Caenorhabditis elegans: one gene and its partner. The protein of the gene in region 2 purifies or fractionates together with the protein of the main gene of each other region. This does not show direct contact. Each region holds a gene or a part of one and is shown on either strand. Other genes may lie near its edges.

Region 1 (7,624 bases), on a different chromosome or scaffold from region 2:
CAATAACCCAATCAACTCCCTATTCCTATATTTTCAGAAAAAAAAGTTTCCGGAAATTCTACAACTGCAAGAAAAAAGAATGACATTTCAAGAAAAAAGGAGCACAATAAAGTAAAAGTGTGAAATATAATACATATGACCTAATGACAGTATGATAACGTCATACTAGCCACGGCGAGGAGCACAATTCGATAACGGTGTGTGGAAAAATAATTCAGACTAAATTGGGAAATTTTCACAATTCCTTTTTGATAAAGAAAAATGCTCCTCGAGTTTTGTGCTTTTGGTGCTTCACACATAGAAAAGAGAATTGAATGAAAAGGGCTGGAAACTGGAAGAGAAAGAGAAAGAGCAAAAGAATATTGTTTCAACAAAATTCGAATCGCTTTGGTTGATTGAAGAGAAATGGACGATGTGAATGTGAAAAAGAAGAAGAGGAGCATTTCCAATATTTTTCAATTAAATCTTTATCGGATTTTCAATTTGTTCATTCCATTGGAATGAAGACGCTTCAATATTTGTATTTATTTACTTTGAAGACATTTATGATCATTTAAAAGTTTTCTATAACTATTCCAAAGTATTTGCTAATGAAAAACGAAAGCTGTGATACATTTTATTGTAACCCGATTTTTTAAAAATTATAGTATCATAGATAAACTTACCCAATTAAATTTACAAAAAAATTTTAGACATATAAGTGAAAAATTGTCAAGATTGATTTTTTAGAAAATTATTTTAAACTCTACATATGTATATGCAACAAAGTCACAGAAAAATTACATCACATATAAATCACAGAAAAAAAAGAAAACTTTTAGAGTCGTGTCAATTGTTTTGCATTTGCGGAAGAAGCCATACATTTATGAAAAAATTTCGGATCTTAACATTAATCCTAAAATAAAGTATTGTTATCAGACTTTCTAAATATAAATTTTTAAAAAACTCGAAACCATTTTCCTTGGAGATGTTAAAATTGACACCTAAAAGGAATGCTTATAAAAAACGACAAAAATATTCTGAATTCAGATGCAAATTTTCATTTTTTCACATACATAAAATGGGGGTGAATGGGTGTATAGAACATAGGTGAAATATGATAGATAAAAGAAAATGAAGAGGTTTTGAGAGACAAACAAAGCGGACCGGTTCGGGTTCGCCAACAACTTCGAGACAATCGCCTCAACAGTCCGAACACACTTTTTCTCTGGGTTTCCGCATTAAAAAAGTTTTACGCACTTTTGATTTGTAAATGTCAACTTACTAAACTAAAGTACAAATATTTATAAGTAAGATGCGAAAAGTTTCGGGAAAAAATTGTGGCAAAAATTGAGTTTCCAGCATCAGTGCATTTTTATACAAAACTTTTCTGGAAAATATTGCATGAGAAAAGATGACAAAGGAAGTTTGTATCGGGGGCACACCAGGCTAAAATGTACTGTTTCTAAATACTGAACGGCCAAATAATCGGCGAGATGACAATTCGCAGGAAACAACAGAGAAACCTCAAAGATCGGCAATTCTTATTTGAACTTTTGAGGAATTCGAAAATATTTGTTTATCACAAAAAAGGTTTACATTTCAAACTCAGCTTTAAATTCAAAATGCATTCACTTTAATGGAGATTTTTAATGCTTCAGGGTGTTTAGGGTTAGATTATCATCCGGAAGCCATTTCGAAAAATGTTATATGTTGAAAAAAATCTGCAAAATGTTCAACATGTTTTTTTCAAAAGGCATCAACTTTACAAAGAAAAAAATAGCTAGGTTACATTCGGAAGTTCAATTTAGAGCGGAAATACTTTCCTTGTGGATTTAAACCCTCTGAATTAGAAGTATCATTGTATTAACCATTTCCCACTAAAACACTAATTAGTCGTCTGTCTGGAACAAGGTGGTGGGAGAATAAAAACTGTCACATCATTCTATCGAGACACGTGGCAATGAGCAACCAATTGCCATGGGAAACAAGGTACCAGAATACAACACTATAATAGAGATAATAAATACTTTATTCTGCAGTCATTTAATCTTCAAAATCACTGAAAATCGGAAAATTCAATATAAATATTATGAATACTGAGGGAAAACAACAATTAAGGATTTATAAAACCTACCGGTAAGCTTAATAGCCCGTGACAATAAAACTAGATTTTGGTTGTGAGATGATAATGATATGATAAGTTGAAAAAGTCGATAACATTTTGAGGTTGATAAATTATTAATAAGAATATATACTTTTAACACTAAATTACAATTAAAGGAGATATATTTTTTAGAAAAGTTATTCCCATGGTCTGAACAGCTTACTCTTTCTTGAAGCTTTAGGATTGGAATTCGAGTTCTCATTTGGAGTGGATGGTGTTTCGATTGATGACGAAGAAGTATCGGATGATGGTGGTGGAGAATCCAGTGAATATGATGGAGACTGTTGAGATTTTGGACTTGTTGCCATTGGTGCCATTGGCATTGGGAAGAATGGGAATGGCCGGAATGGGAAGATTGGGAATGATGGTGGTGGAATTGGGATGGGCATGGATGGGAATCCAAAGAGTGGCTTTGGTGATAAGGAGAATTCGAAGAACTTTTCAAGGTCTGCGCATCGGACAACGAGGTGACGGTCGCTCTGAAAATATATTGATAACATTTAAAAAAATCTTCTCGAAGTTCCTGACAACTCACCTTGAAAAATTGGAAGGCAATGTTTTTTGCAGTCTTCTTTCCCTCTGCAATTGCATGTGCATAGAGTGACTGCTCCTGGTCGCTTCGACTAACAAAATTGTGCTTCTTGTTTTGAATGTAGGCAATTATGATATCCAGGGTGTTCAAGCGTTGCATTTTTTCGCTGAAAAAAGGAAAAGTTTAATTTATGGTATTGGGAAAATTTAAGCTTACACTTGATGAGATGTCATGAGCTTGTTCTCAATGATAAAGTTCTTCAAAGCATCAAAAGCTTCTCCCTGACGATCTCTTCTATCTTGCTCTCTATTCTTTTTCACTTCCTTTCTATCAATTGTGATTCCAGATTCCGATGTCGATGGAGAGCTTGACTGGGATCTATAGCTCATTGAAGAGTGGAGAATTTCCGACTCAGATCTTCTCTTTGATTTTCCAGATACAGTGCTCAGCAAAGATGAACGTTCTCGATCGAAAAACTGCTTGGCACGTTGCACAAAATCCTGACAGACATCTGAATTGACGCCCAGGGATTTGATGAAGGAATAAGTGAGCGACTCGATTGATCGGAATCCGTCAAAGAATCCTTTGCGATTTGGATTTGATGATGGTCCAGGTGATTCGGTTTCCATGCGACTGACCACTTCGACTGCACGGTTTAAGACATCACCTTGGCTGAAAATTAGTAAGATTTGAATGAAGATAACACTAAACGAATAGAAAACTCACGTCATTTTCTCATTATCCGATTCATTTTGAATCAATAGTTGAAGCTCCTTGATCTTTGCATTAATCTCATCTCGTCGTTTCTTCTCCTGTGATGTTTTTCTGTTATGAGCGTAAGCTGGTGGTGGGGTACTGATGAGGACCATTTCTGGAAAAAAAATTAAGTTTTTATTGATTTTTATAGCTCGATTTGTAAATGAACAAAATCAAGAAGGGAGAAATGTTGCGGAATTTGAGAAATATAGAGAAAGAGAAGGAGATATAGAGAAAAGTCATAAACCATTCGGAAGAGGGAGCGTGGCGATTTACAGTACCCCTCACTTCTACAGCACGCCTTCTTTTTCTAGATTAGAATCTTATTCGTAGAAATTTAATTGCCTTAAACCCTAAAAACCCACTTTTTGTGTCGTTTCGCCAAAAAAAATTATATCCCAATGGTTCCCATCACTATCAACCACAAAAGACGTGCCGAGTTATCAGTGTGGGAATCATTTGATAAGTGTGCATGGGAAAAAAGCACTTGAGTCATGACACAGTTTCCCACAACTCTTGACCATATTGGTTTGATAACCCCTGGTGAGAGGCGACACTGTGAAGAGCCGGGCGGATGCTCAGGCGGTACTAATCCTTTAATGGAGAGCTAGGGGTCCGACAAGGTGAGAAAAGGAAGTGAAACGGCAGACCGGAAGAACATGAAAGAAGTTGGTAAACAAGAGGGATCTACAGGCAGTAAAATGCATGGGGAGGTGTTAGAGTTTCAGATGTACTGTACTTGAGGTGAAAATTTGGAAGACTGATAGTGAGGTGAGACATAGAGAATTCGGGGGAAGAATGTTAAAATGAAGTGAGAATTGGTTAATTTAAGGAAAACTAGAAATTGGAAGCGCTACAGTAGCAATACTATTTCTGGTGAGGTAGAACTATGTTGCTACTGTAGCTGAAACTCTTAACCATAGCTATAGACTACTGTAGATTTGCTACTGTAAGACTCTAAAGAATTTAGGGCAAAAAATAATTAGGAATGTATACTAAATACACTTCTCAAAATCTCAAAACAGCTAAAGTAAATACTGGAACTAAAAAACAAACAAAAAAATGAGAAGAAGATGTATGAATGAAAGTAAATTCTGATAGCCCCCACTTGTTGACTAATTGCAACCGGACGCGTCTAGAGGCGGGGACCGTCTCGTTGGATGTGCATAGGCCACGCCTCCTTTGGCTGGCAGGCAACCATGGGAAAGGTGCAGGGAGAGAGGGGTATAACGGAAGTGGTGGGAATATAGGGGCACGTGAAGATGAGAGAACTAGTGAGACTGTGGGAAGATATAGGTTAGAGAGTTGAATTTTGATAGATGATAATGATATGAGTTCTTTTAAATTTGAATACGTTGGCAATTATTGGAAGACAAAAATAGGTACTTGCGTAGTGAATGTACCCTAAAAATTTCCTACATTAAAAAAAAATATTCAAGGTTGCATCGACAAACATTTTATACTTACGATCTACAAACTCAACGTAACAAAGTTGGTTTCATTTAAGTTCTAGGAGATCAACTTTTACAGAGATCAAAATAGTAGAATGTTTTGTTTTCTACGGTAGGGCCTGCGCACGCTCTATGACATGGTTAGAACTTTATTCAAGTCTGTAAGGCTTGTTTTTTCAGAACACAACTGTCTATTTGGCATTTACCGCCAATTTATTTCTCGTCTTAAACAAGCCTAATACAACTCAGGTTTAAAATTACAGAAAATACGTTTTCTGGAATTTTCCAACTTTTCAACCAATTATATGTGTATGTTTTAGGCGAAAGTTAGAAAACACCGAGTATGAAACAAATAAGGAACATAATGGATTTCAATGTTATTTTTATCTTCAATATCGTTTTCATAGATCCCATCTAAACCTGACACTCCATGACCTTCCACAACTGTGAGAATATTGCAGATTTCCCATTGCGCGCTAATTTGGTACATACACCGTTCCCAGCCATCTGACACGCGTGGTCCTGAGAATTTCAACATTATTTCTATGTACTTATATTTTCAATTTCCCTCCTATAAAATACCATATTGTTGTTATATTTACACTAGGTTCTCACGACAATTAGCAAGGTTTTTTCGGTATTATATTTTGACACTGTGGTGCGAAATTGAGACCGACTTCCGGCTGTGATTCTGGAGATGGGGGACCCTGGGAAATTTTTGGTATATTTCAAATCTAGAAATATTCAAATAATCTGGAATATCTACGTGCATTCTGGTAAACAATATCATAAACGGCGTGCTGGAGACTTTTATGATAGTCTGTAAACATCTGAATGCATATGGAGGTGCACAAGGTGGAGATGCACTATATCATCATGAGTTGTAAACATTTGGGTATACCTTCTAGGTATACCGATTTTATGGTATGCATGTTTATGATTTGCATGATGACCCAGTTTTTCTAGATCTAGAACAACAACAAGAATCAATGATTACATTTGAATATGAAAAAAAGTGAGATGTAACGAATTTTTTAGATGTTTAAATAAAACCAGTTTACTTACATTGTTGAGTAATTCTTGCATTTTCTACACGTAGAAACGGGGATTTCAAGTAAAACTACATTTTCAGACAAACATTCTTTAGCTCATTGTAAATTGCTAACAGAGCCAAAAAGCAGATTAGAACATCCAGTTAACTTACTGTATTTCCTCTACCAGTATTGCAACCCATTGTTCAACTATACAAAATTGTCCCTACCAAAATATTTGTTATTTCTTTTTCTACCTTTTCAAAGTAAAATAATGGGGTGCAGTACTAATAGAGGAAATACGGTAACTACTATTTGGAGTGCATATAAAACTTCAAGATTTGGGATATTTTTTGGTTAGAATTGCCCCATTCGAAAGGTTGCTTGGAAAACTCTACGCACTTCAAATTCACAAAAATAAACTTTTATCTAAGTACAGTATCTAGTACAGTAATCTTCAAAACTACAGTAATCCAGACAATTTTTCACACTCTACATCTTGTACCATCAGTACATGTTCTTACTATAATTGTACAAGTAATCTCGTCGGCATCTTTAGATATGCATGTCCCTTCTAAATTGTAATGTGGGAACATTGCACCATCTTGAGTCAAGTACCTAAATGAGCATGCTGGGCTCATGGGAAATTCTTGTTCCGGTGAATATTGTACTTTATCTGATCTTGATATCAGAGTAAATAATTATGGTTTATGCAAGGGTAGAATCGCTGTAATTAGGTAGCAAGTTTTGGATGAGAGAGGTGGGAAAGTTGTTTTTTTGACAAAAATAGATTTCTTGGTTTGTTTTTCTAAAAAAAATAACAAAGAACTGTGTTCAAAAATGTTTACTTTTGGTTAATAGAAAAATAAATAACTTTTTTAAAATTTCTGGTCAAATATAGTGTTCTACCCCACTTGTTCAACTTTGACAGCTTATATTTCAGTTGCCGTTTGTTCCATTGAAAATTGTTAAAATTGACAACTCGGGTGCTACTCCACTAGAATATACGGTAATTTTGTGGCCGCCCTGGTTCCTATGGTAGACATGTGCAGTATACTTGGAGGCAATTGAGTATACTCAATTTAAACAATAAATTGTAAAATCAGCAGAGCTGTGTATATTCAAATGCTGAGTATCCATATAAACTAGGAAATAAAGAACGTGGAAGACTATGACTATGCATAACTTTCCAGAGAAGTATATTTTTATGGTATAAAATTTGGAACAGTTATAAGCCATTATCTAGGGCAATTAGTCGCCTCCTAGCTTCATAAACTCCACCAATCATCCAATTCACTAAAATCCTCGTTGTTTTGTGTTTTGTAAGATATCAGTGTTGTCGTCGGCGAGATCAGAGCCAATAGTGCGCGATAACTCTCCAAGCCCTCTCACATCCCCAACCTCTTCATATCCCCCGATCTCTCACCACTCTACACACCTGCACCACCACAATCACGTCGCCCCGACAATGATAAATCGGTATGGGAAACAACATTTGATGATGACAAGTAAGACGAGTGAACACCGCCGCGAGCAAATTGACACGGAACAAGAACGCGGATTTTATGATGTACTTCTCCGTGACTGTGGATGACACGCGGAACAATCAGATGGGAATGTGGAGTGATGCTAGGATCCTGGGAATCCCAGAAGCATGGGAAAATATATAAACTTCATAATAATTATTTTCTTTGACTAACTAACATGT
Region 2 (7,708 bases):
TATTGTGCAAAGCACTCGCTGAAAATCAATAAATATAATAATATTGTGCATTTTAAAATATCCTTACTCATTGTGGTGTCGTGCATGAGAAGATCCACGCAAATGTTCGATTGTCAACGAGAATGTTGAAGCATCAGCGTCGTACGCATTGTGGAGATTTCTTCTAGTTCTCTGGCCATCCGGTCCATCGTAGAAATCAAAGTATGAAGTCACAAATTGCTCGACAAGAACTCGGATCTGTGGATTTGGGTAATATCCAGCCTAAAAATATTAGAATAACGAAGGTTCTAGGGAGATTTAAATCCGCAGGAACTTACTCTGAATGGCATTGCGTCATGAATATCGAGATCCGGTCCAACAACCAGCGGCTGCACTTCGACTCCGTCCTGAAAGTAGTTTCATTCCGAGATGCGAACTTGGCTCAATGTTAAATAACTTACCAGCATGTTGCATCGCGGGAATGATTGATGAATATAGCTGAAGTGGTAGGTTTGGGGTTAATGAACATAATAAAATAGGGAACAAGGAGGAAAACACAATGAAATTTAAATAAAAAATCTGAAAATCATTCAGATAATGTAACCTGATATATGCTGCCCTCTGTGTGAATGACTCGACGACTGGGTTTCCTTCAAAGAAGAATCTTTCGACTGGCAATCCGGCGAATTTCTCTAACTCCTTTTCAGTGGAAATCTGTAAATCAAAAGTTGAATAAAAAATAGCTAGATCTATTGAACTAACGTGGTTGTGACTCAAATCCAACTCCATAACGAACTTAGCGATTGACACGAGAGCTGAAGCGTAGTCCAAATGACGGATGCGATTGTTCTGAAATGATAAAAATTACTTTTATAGAGAATATTAAGAGCATGACTCACTGATAACGACAAAGCCACAATGTTTCCGTACTTATCATCAATGTGATCGAGAACTGTGAGCATGACATTTCCTTTCGTCAAATTCATCATCATATCCTTTGCCTTGAACTCTTCGTCTTCGTGGAAGTTTGATAAATCCAATACTCGATTCTCGGCGTTGTGACGTTTGTCGACTACTCTCTGAAAAATGTTTGTAATGATTACCTGACAAATAAATTTTGAGGCTTACATGAATGATCTCAATTTCCTCTCGTTTCAGTTTCATCCATGGGGCTGGAACTTTGGAAGTGTAAAACTCAACGCGTGTGCCACTTTCTTTGTGGACAACACGACGATTATTGGCTCGGATAGTTGAAGCAGTGTCCTCGTCGCGGACGTACCATTCAAAGTCTCCACGGGCGTTATCAGTCCAGAGAAGTGGCTTGAAATTTTCGATTATTTGATTAAGCTGCTTGATCAGCCACTTGGCATCAACTTTCTTGGCAGCTCCAGTAGCACGGCACTTGTAGACGATGTCAGCATTACGAACTCCAGTGTTGGCGATGGATGCAGCCGATTGTCCGAAACCGCGTGATGATCCTCCACGACCACGGCTACTGGCAGAAGTAAGGCTTGCACGAACTGAAACAAAAATAAGTTGGCAAGGATATGAATAAATCTAAGCGTTACCTGGAACGGCAGGCTCGTCGTCGTCTTCATATCTGCTTTGAGTGTCTGGGTCAAGTCGAGCAAAACGATTCTTTGTACGTGACAATTGCTTCGCGTCACGATGCCCTCCAAACCCTTTGCGATTCATATCTGAAAGATTTGTATTTCATCGAGGGAAAACTGGTATCGAAAAATTAAATTAAAGGTGTAGGTGAAACACAAATAAATATGATATTCAAGAGAAAGCAATATTGAACATGAAAAGTTATAATAGACAAGGAAAAGTTAAATTTTTACTCATTTCGAAAGTGTTGCGAAACTGGGACGGCTGCCTCATTCCAGCCGGGAGATAATTTAGTTTTGCGGAAATCAGAAAACTCAATGAATCAGATTTTAAAACTATAATTTCACATTTGGAACACTAAGCAAAGAACGGCAATTCGAAAATTGGTGAAACTGAATCATATTTATGCAAAAAAAAATCTCGTGACTTTTATCGGTTGTGCAAACACCGTTACGCAAAAATGCAGACGAGCCCCCAATTTGACGACATAAACAAGAATAAAAAATGTTTTAGGCAAACATGTTTCATGCGAGTCAGAAAATGACGTGAATTCTCGGTTAGAATGATAGTAACACTTAAGAGGCATGATAAAAATCGATCATGCAAAATATTAATCGTTGAACAGTGATTTTCAATTTCGCCGACTACAGTAACCGCAAAAAGATACTACTGTAATATATGAGTAAATTTTCAATATTTCACTGTCACCTGTCAACAAAATATACATATTTCTGCAAATTCAGTGGCTATATAGATAGCAGTAAAAATACGAGAAAACGTTTTGTTCCCCGTAATTTTTGTTTGCTCACCACTCTTTTCCCATCTTCGCAGCCAACAATTTCCAAAACATCCGTCTCTCTCCATTGTTCTTACAACTAAAAGAATATGAAGAAGTACACCCCTGATTCGCGTCTTGACAATATTGCGCCTATTCCGACGCGTTTTGAACGTCGGAAGATGTTGCCAGACATCGGAACTTCAGCCGAATTCACATTCTCCCGTGTTCCCGTATTTCCCGGTTTGAGGAAACCGGGGTAGGTATTTCCACGAAAAGTCTCTTGAAAATGGAATTGTTTCAGAAAAAGAATCATCGCGATCTACCTAGCGAGTGCTTCAATTGGATTCGCAGCTGCTTGGTTTGGTGCTGCCACTTTTGATCAGGTCAATTTGAAAATTGATAGCTACAAAGACCGATTAGACATTGTTCCATACAAATAATTTTTAAAAATGAAGATTAACAAATAACTGTAAAATGTTGAGACAAAAAAAAACATGCTAGGTGTTGGTAACAAGATATGATCCGAAACTAGACATAAAAATACAAATAGGATGCCGTTTAAATGTATGAAAATATATAATTTTCACTGGTCAATGTCCGTTGCTGTCTCCACTAGCATGCGGTACTGATCGCCGCGTCTTTTTGACATCGAGCTAATGAACAGCTGATCGGAAACAATGGCGACTTTTCCTTCGCCTCTTGGAGCAACCATGAATGTTCTCGTAAAATAATTATCATGTTCCTCAGTGTTCTCGGGCTTTATCGCAGATGGTCCGTCACGAAATGTTCCATGTAATGTGAATCCGAGAAGTGTTGCCGAAACAAGGAACACGTCAACTACGAATGTATCCATCAGATGAATTGTGGCAGGAAGTCTCGAAAGTGCAACTACGATATCCATTGCACCGTGTGATATTCTGGAGGCCCGATTTGCGGCAAAATATTCCTGATTCAGAACATTGTGCGAAGTTCTCAGGTACATTCGATAGCTCTCACTTGAAATATAAATAATTATTAAAACCTTAAGACTTCAGACGGTACCTGTCCGGATACATGACAAATTTAATTGGGTCCCACAAGCAGACAACTGTATGCGTGAATGTTGACTGAAAAATATATGTTTATATTTACTACTGAAAAAATGCAAGAATCAGCACGTTATTTGTGTCGTACGCATCCAGAAGTTGCTTCCTTGTCTGCTGTCCATCTGCGCCATCGTAGATTTTGTAATATGTGATGATAAATTCTTCGACAAGAGTACGAACTTCATCACTGCCATAGTATCCATTCTAAAATAATTAGATGATTCGGGAATGTAGAAATATACTGTATCACCCTGAATGGAATTATCTGCTCGATTCTATTGTGATCTGGTTTTGGTTCGACTTCCATTCCATCCTACAATTTAGATAGAAATTGAAATAATTGTTAGGATATTCGTGAATTACCAAATTTGAACATTTTGGGAATGTCTTTTGAATAAAGTTGGCATACTCGGCACATTGCACAAACTTCTCGCAGACTGGATTTCCCTCGAAAAACACAGTTTCTACTGGAATCGTTCCTAACTTCTTCAATTCTTCTCCTGACGAAATCTTAGAAAAAAAAGTTATGAAATTTAAGAATACAAAAACTTTTAAAACCTGATTATGACTCAAGTCGAGGAATTTTAGAAACTTGGATATGCTCGAGAGAGAGGAGAGATGGTCCAAGTGACAGAGCCGATTATTCTGAAAATTACATGGAATTAATTATTTTTTCACAAATTAATCTAAACCGAGAATGAGATTCCGGAAATGCGAGGATATTTGTACCCAATATGCTGTAGAACTACCGACATCACTCTTGTCTTCGTGAGGCACATCAACATGTCCCTTTCGACAAATTCTGTGTTTTTTGAAAAGTTCGACAGGTTAAGAACATCGTCAGTCGCAACATAACACCCATCCACGACATCTTGGACAACCTTGATTTCAGCTGGCCTCAAGTTTGTGACATGTGTCTGGCGTGGTGAAGAATGCGATGAATGGGATGAAAGGCTGAGCCGTCCTTCGATATTCCGATAGCCTCGCCGATTTTGTCCACGCATAATCTTAAAAAGTGAGCATTTAGTTTGAAAAATTGAAGTCGATTTGAAGACAAGAAAATCACTTCGTAAATCTACAGCTACCGTAGTCGCAAGGTGTGTCAATCCATGCGAGACCTCCTCATCCTTTGCAGAAATCATCTAAATTTTTTAATTTAGCCCAAATATTTATTTTTTATTTTTTAGCTAAAAAATCAATCCTCAATTTTTTTGCGAAAAAATAGGTATGTTTAAATCGAAAAAAAAAAGCAAATAAACCGGTAAACGAACTTTCAGGCTGCAGTGCAGAAAAAAGCACCACGAATGACTACGAAGGATATTAAAAAGAAAGCAAAATCGCGAAAGTCCAAGAATGCGATCAAAAAGAATGCATCCAAGTCAAGGAAATGTGACAAAATCTCCACCCAAAATACCGGCAAGGTGGACACCGAATTTTATGAAGTTCAAGATATCGTTCGCTCGGTGTGTTTCTTATAGGGTTATTCAAGTAATGTTGTGAAATTTAAAATTGTATTCAAATACATTTTGATTTGTTCGTGTAACTCAAAAGGTAGTTGCCAAGAAAATTGTTTTCAAACCACCATAATTACAATATCTCAGAGAATCGAAGGACGGGAGATTCAATATACAGTCAAGTGGACGAACTGGAATGGTGGTGACACGGAAGAAGCTGAACGACGACTTGTGTGCACCGAGAAGCTTATGGGGTATGCTGCAAGGACATTGAAATCTTCATACGTAACGAATCTTGACTTTTTCCTCCGAAATCTGGATACCGCGCTTAGTGACTTAGTATTTTTCACGAACACTTTGATACCTTTATCAATCGTAGCGGAAGCCACTGTTTTCGGATCTTCGGTCAAGTTTGTCACGAGAGACAACATCGGAGCAAAGATTATGTATTTGAAAGTGAGTATTTTCTATTTACCCGTACTGGTTTAAAATCGAATTTTCAGTACATCAAAGAGCATAACCAGATGCATCTTCTACACTCCTTCCTCGTTCCACAAATTGATAGAGTCAACAGCAGTCATATTCAGTATGACAAGGAGATGAAATATCAGAGACAGATTTTCGAAGATTATCCTTTCGTCAAGATCTTCTACCCAACTAAGAAGCAATCAGTCCTCTTCCCTCCGCCTCCATTGCCAAACATCTTGTTTGAACCAGTTACAGAAGAAATGTATAAGAATCGTGAAAATTTTCCTCACTTTTTCCCTCGGAAGGGTATAAAAGCTGGATTCAACAATGTGAGCATTTATTATGTTTCTTCTGTTTCTTAAATTCACAAATTTCAGGTTCGGCCATTCATCGACCGGTTGTATTTTGCCAAAGACGAATCACAACAGCCAAAATATCTGAAGGAGGTTGATGAGAATAAGTACGAGGGAATGCGAAGAATCAACAAGGCGTATGTGTTTTGAAAAGTGTTTCAGATTTTAATTATTTTTATTTAGAGTGAACTCGAGATTCTCCATACCACTTGAAATGAGACAGGAACCCGGATCGGGCTGGTACATATTATCAGCTATGTACAGTCTCCCCAATGTTCCTCTGATGGTCATGACTGGAGTGGTAATTTTAAAAACTGTAATTGTAATTGTATAATATTTCATCTCAGATTCGACCAGCCGAAGTTGCTCGAGAATCTTTGCGAACTGAAGGAAAAGAGGTTGCATTCAGTTCTTTCGTCGAAATTCCAGGAACAGATTTGTGCCTCGATCGTCGAGAGTTCTATGACTTCTCAAAATTCATTCCCCACAGCGTGAGTTTTATTCAATTAACTATTCTAATAACTTGATGATATCCAGTGTAATCCAACATGCAATGTTCGTTTGGTTGAATCAGGAAACGACATTCCTGATCTCGTGATTTACTCACGTTTTCCCCTCGACGAAGGCAATGGATATGTGATCACCCTTGATTATTTCAAGGCTTTCAAAAAAGAGGTTGAGGAATACTTCTCAAAGGTTGTTGCTCCAGGTACGTTCTTGATAATTAGTTTTCCTAGATAAATGTCCTCATTCAGACGGCAAACTCTTCCATCTCCTCGAGAAGGATATCGACTTCGTGCAGTGCAAATGTGAGCACAAGTGCCGAGAGATTGTATATATCGACCAGTCAGCGAAGAAGAAGTCCGAGAAGGAGAAACTGACGTCGACGTTCAATGGCATGTCTCTGGTAGAGTCACCAAAAATCTGGAAGATAAAAAATGGTAATTTCCTCGAGTGAAACTCGCTGTAAAATGTTTTCAACTAGTTTTGTTTTTCGTTTTGTTATGTATTACATATTTATTCATTCAATGAAATTTTAATTTTAAATACTTGAATATAAAGCCTTTGTTAAAGTTTACAATGGGATTGATATGAATTCTTAATAGAGAAATTATTGTAGCTGCGCTGGCACATTACTTGGCGAGGCCAGTACATTCCAAGCTATAATTGTACAAATCCTGACAGGCCTGATCATCCAAGGCTAGTGGGTTTTCTTGGGTCAACTTGCAATCGGCAAAGTATTTTCCACTGATTCCACCGATCTTTTTGCCCAATGCAAGGAAGATTGAAGTTTGAGCTCCGTCGCGGCTGGTTTTCATGAGGAACCAACTGAAATTAATTTTATTTATTTTAAGGTTAAGTGTGGAAATTTGGCTTGGCTTACCGGAAAACAGCTGTAATCTGCTTGATTCCTGGTGTATTCAAAATGGTATTTCTCGCGAGCTCGGTATTAACAACTCCTGGGTGCAGGGAGTTAACAGTCACGTGTTCGGCTCCGTCCTTTCTCAATTCCTTAGTCAAGGCTCTTGCGTGCATAACATTTGCCAACTTGCTCTGTCTGTACGATTTCATCATTCCAAACGATTTCTTGTCATCTACAGTAGCCAAATTAATTTTCTCGGATTTCAAATGAATACGAGATGAAACATTGATGATTCGAGCGTAGGAAGACTTCTTAACAGCTGGCAGAAAAAGTTCGGTGAGCAGAAATGGTCCCAAATGGTTGCTCTGCCAAGTTTTCTCATGACCATCCTTGGTTTGCTCGTGTTTGCTTTGAAACATGATTCCAGCATTATTGATAAGGATATCAATGGTGTCAGTCGATTCGAGAGTTTCCTTGGCAGCTCGTCGTACACTTTCAAAATCTGTCAAATCACATTCAATGAAGTGAAGACGAGTGGCATCGCATCCTTGTCTCACGAGCATTCGTTTCGCTTCATTGGCTTTCTCTTCGCTTCTGCACAGCATATAGACCTGGAA

What was found. Proteins that work in one complex are often made in the same cells at the same time.
Region 1: the proteins of nxf-2 (region 2) and ref-1 purify together in Caenorhabditis elegans (affinity purification with western blotting; one study listed by BioGRID). This does not show direct contact.

The regions. Positions count from the first base shown.
Region 1 is NC_003280.10:10,214,396-10,222,019, reverse strand, and holds ref-1 (Regulator of fusion ref-1), read right to left. Parts: upstream 3,550-7,624; 5' UTR 3,548-3,549; coding exon 3,405-3,547; intron 3,351-3,404; coding exon 2,895-3,350; intron 2,845-2,894; coding exon 2,682-2,844; intron 2,626-2,681; coding exon 2,284-2,625; 3' UTR 1,994-2,283; downstream 1-1,993. UniProt on the Caenorhabditis elegans protein: Probable transcription factor. Binds 5'-TGCCACGTGTCCA-3' in vitro, probably via the E-box motif 5'-CA[TC][AG]TG-3'.
Region 2 is NC_003283.11:14,413,339-14,421,046, forward strand, and holds nxf-2 (Nuclear RNA export factor 2), read right to left. Parts: upstream 4,498-7,708; 5' UTR 4,458-4,497; coding exon 4,146-4,457; intron 4,099-4,145; coding exon 4,012-4,098; intron 3,964-4,011; coding exon 3,817-3,963; intron 3,767-3,816; coding exon 3,704-3,766; intron 3,658-3,703; coding exon 3,526-3,657; intron 3,475-3,525; coding exon 3,410-3,474; intron 3,364-3,409; coding exon 2,952-3,363; 3' UTR 2,809-2,951; downstream 1-2,808. Other genes in the region: nxf-1 (Nuclear RNA export factor 1), read right to left, coding at 1-18, 68-261, 318-386, 441-477, 584-693, 742-828, 879-1,058, 1,108-1,499 and 1 more; C15H11.11 (Cytochrome b-c1 complex subunit 10), read left to right, coding at 2,476-2,624, 2,670-2,808; set-31 (SET domain-containing protein), read left to right, coding at 4,758-4,916, 5,055-5,363, 5,411-5,704, 5,753-5,865, 5,912-6,029, 6,076-6,219, 6,266-6,437, 6,484-6,686; dhs-22 (DeHydrogenases, Short chain), read right to left, coding at 6,862-7,057, 7,113-7,702. UniProt on the Caenorhabditis elegans protein: Involved in the export of cellular mRNA to the cytoplasm. Plays a role in the nuclear retention of unspliced mRNAs.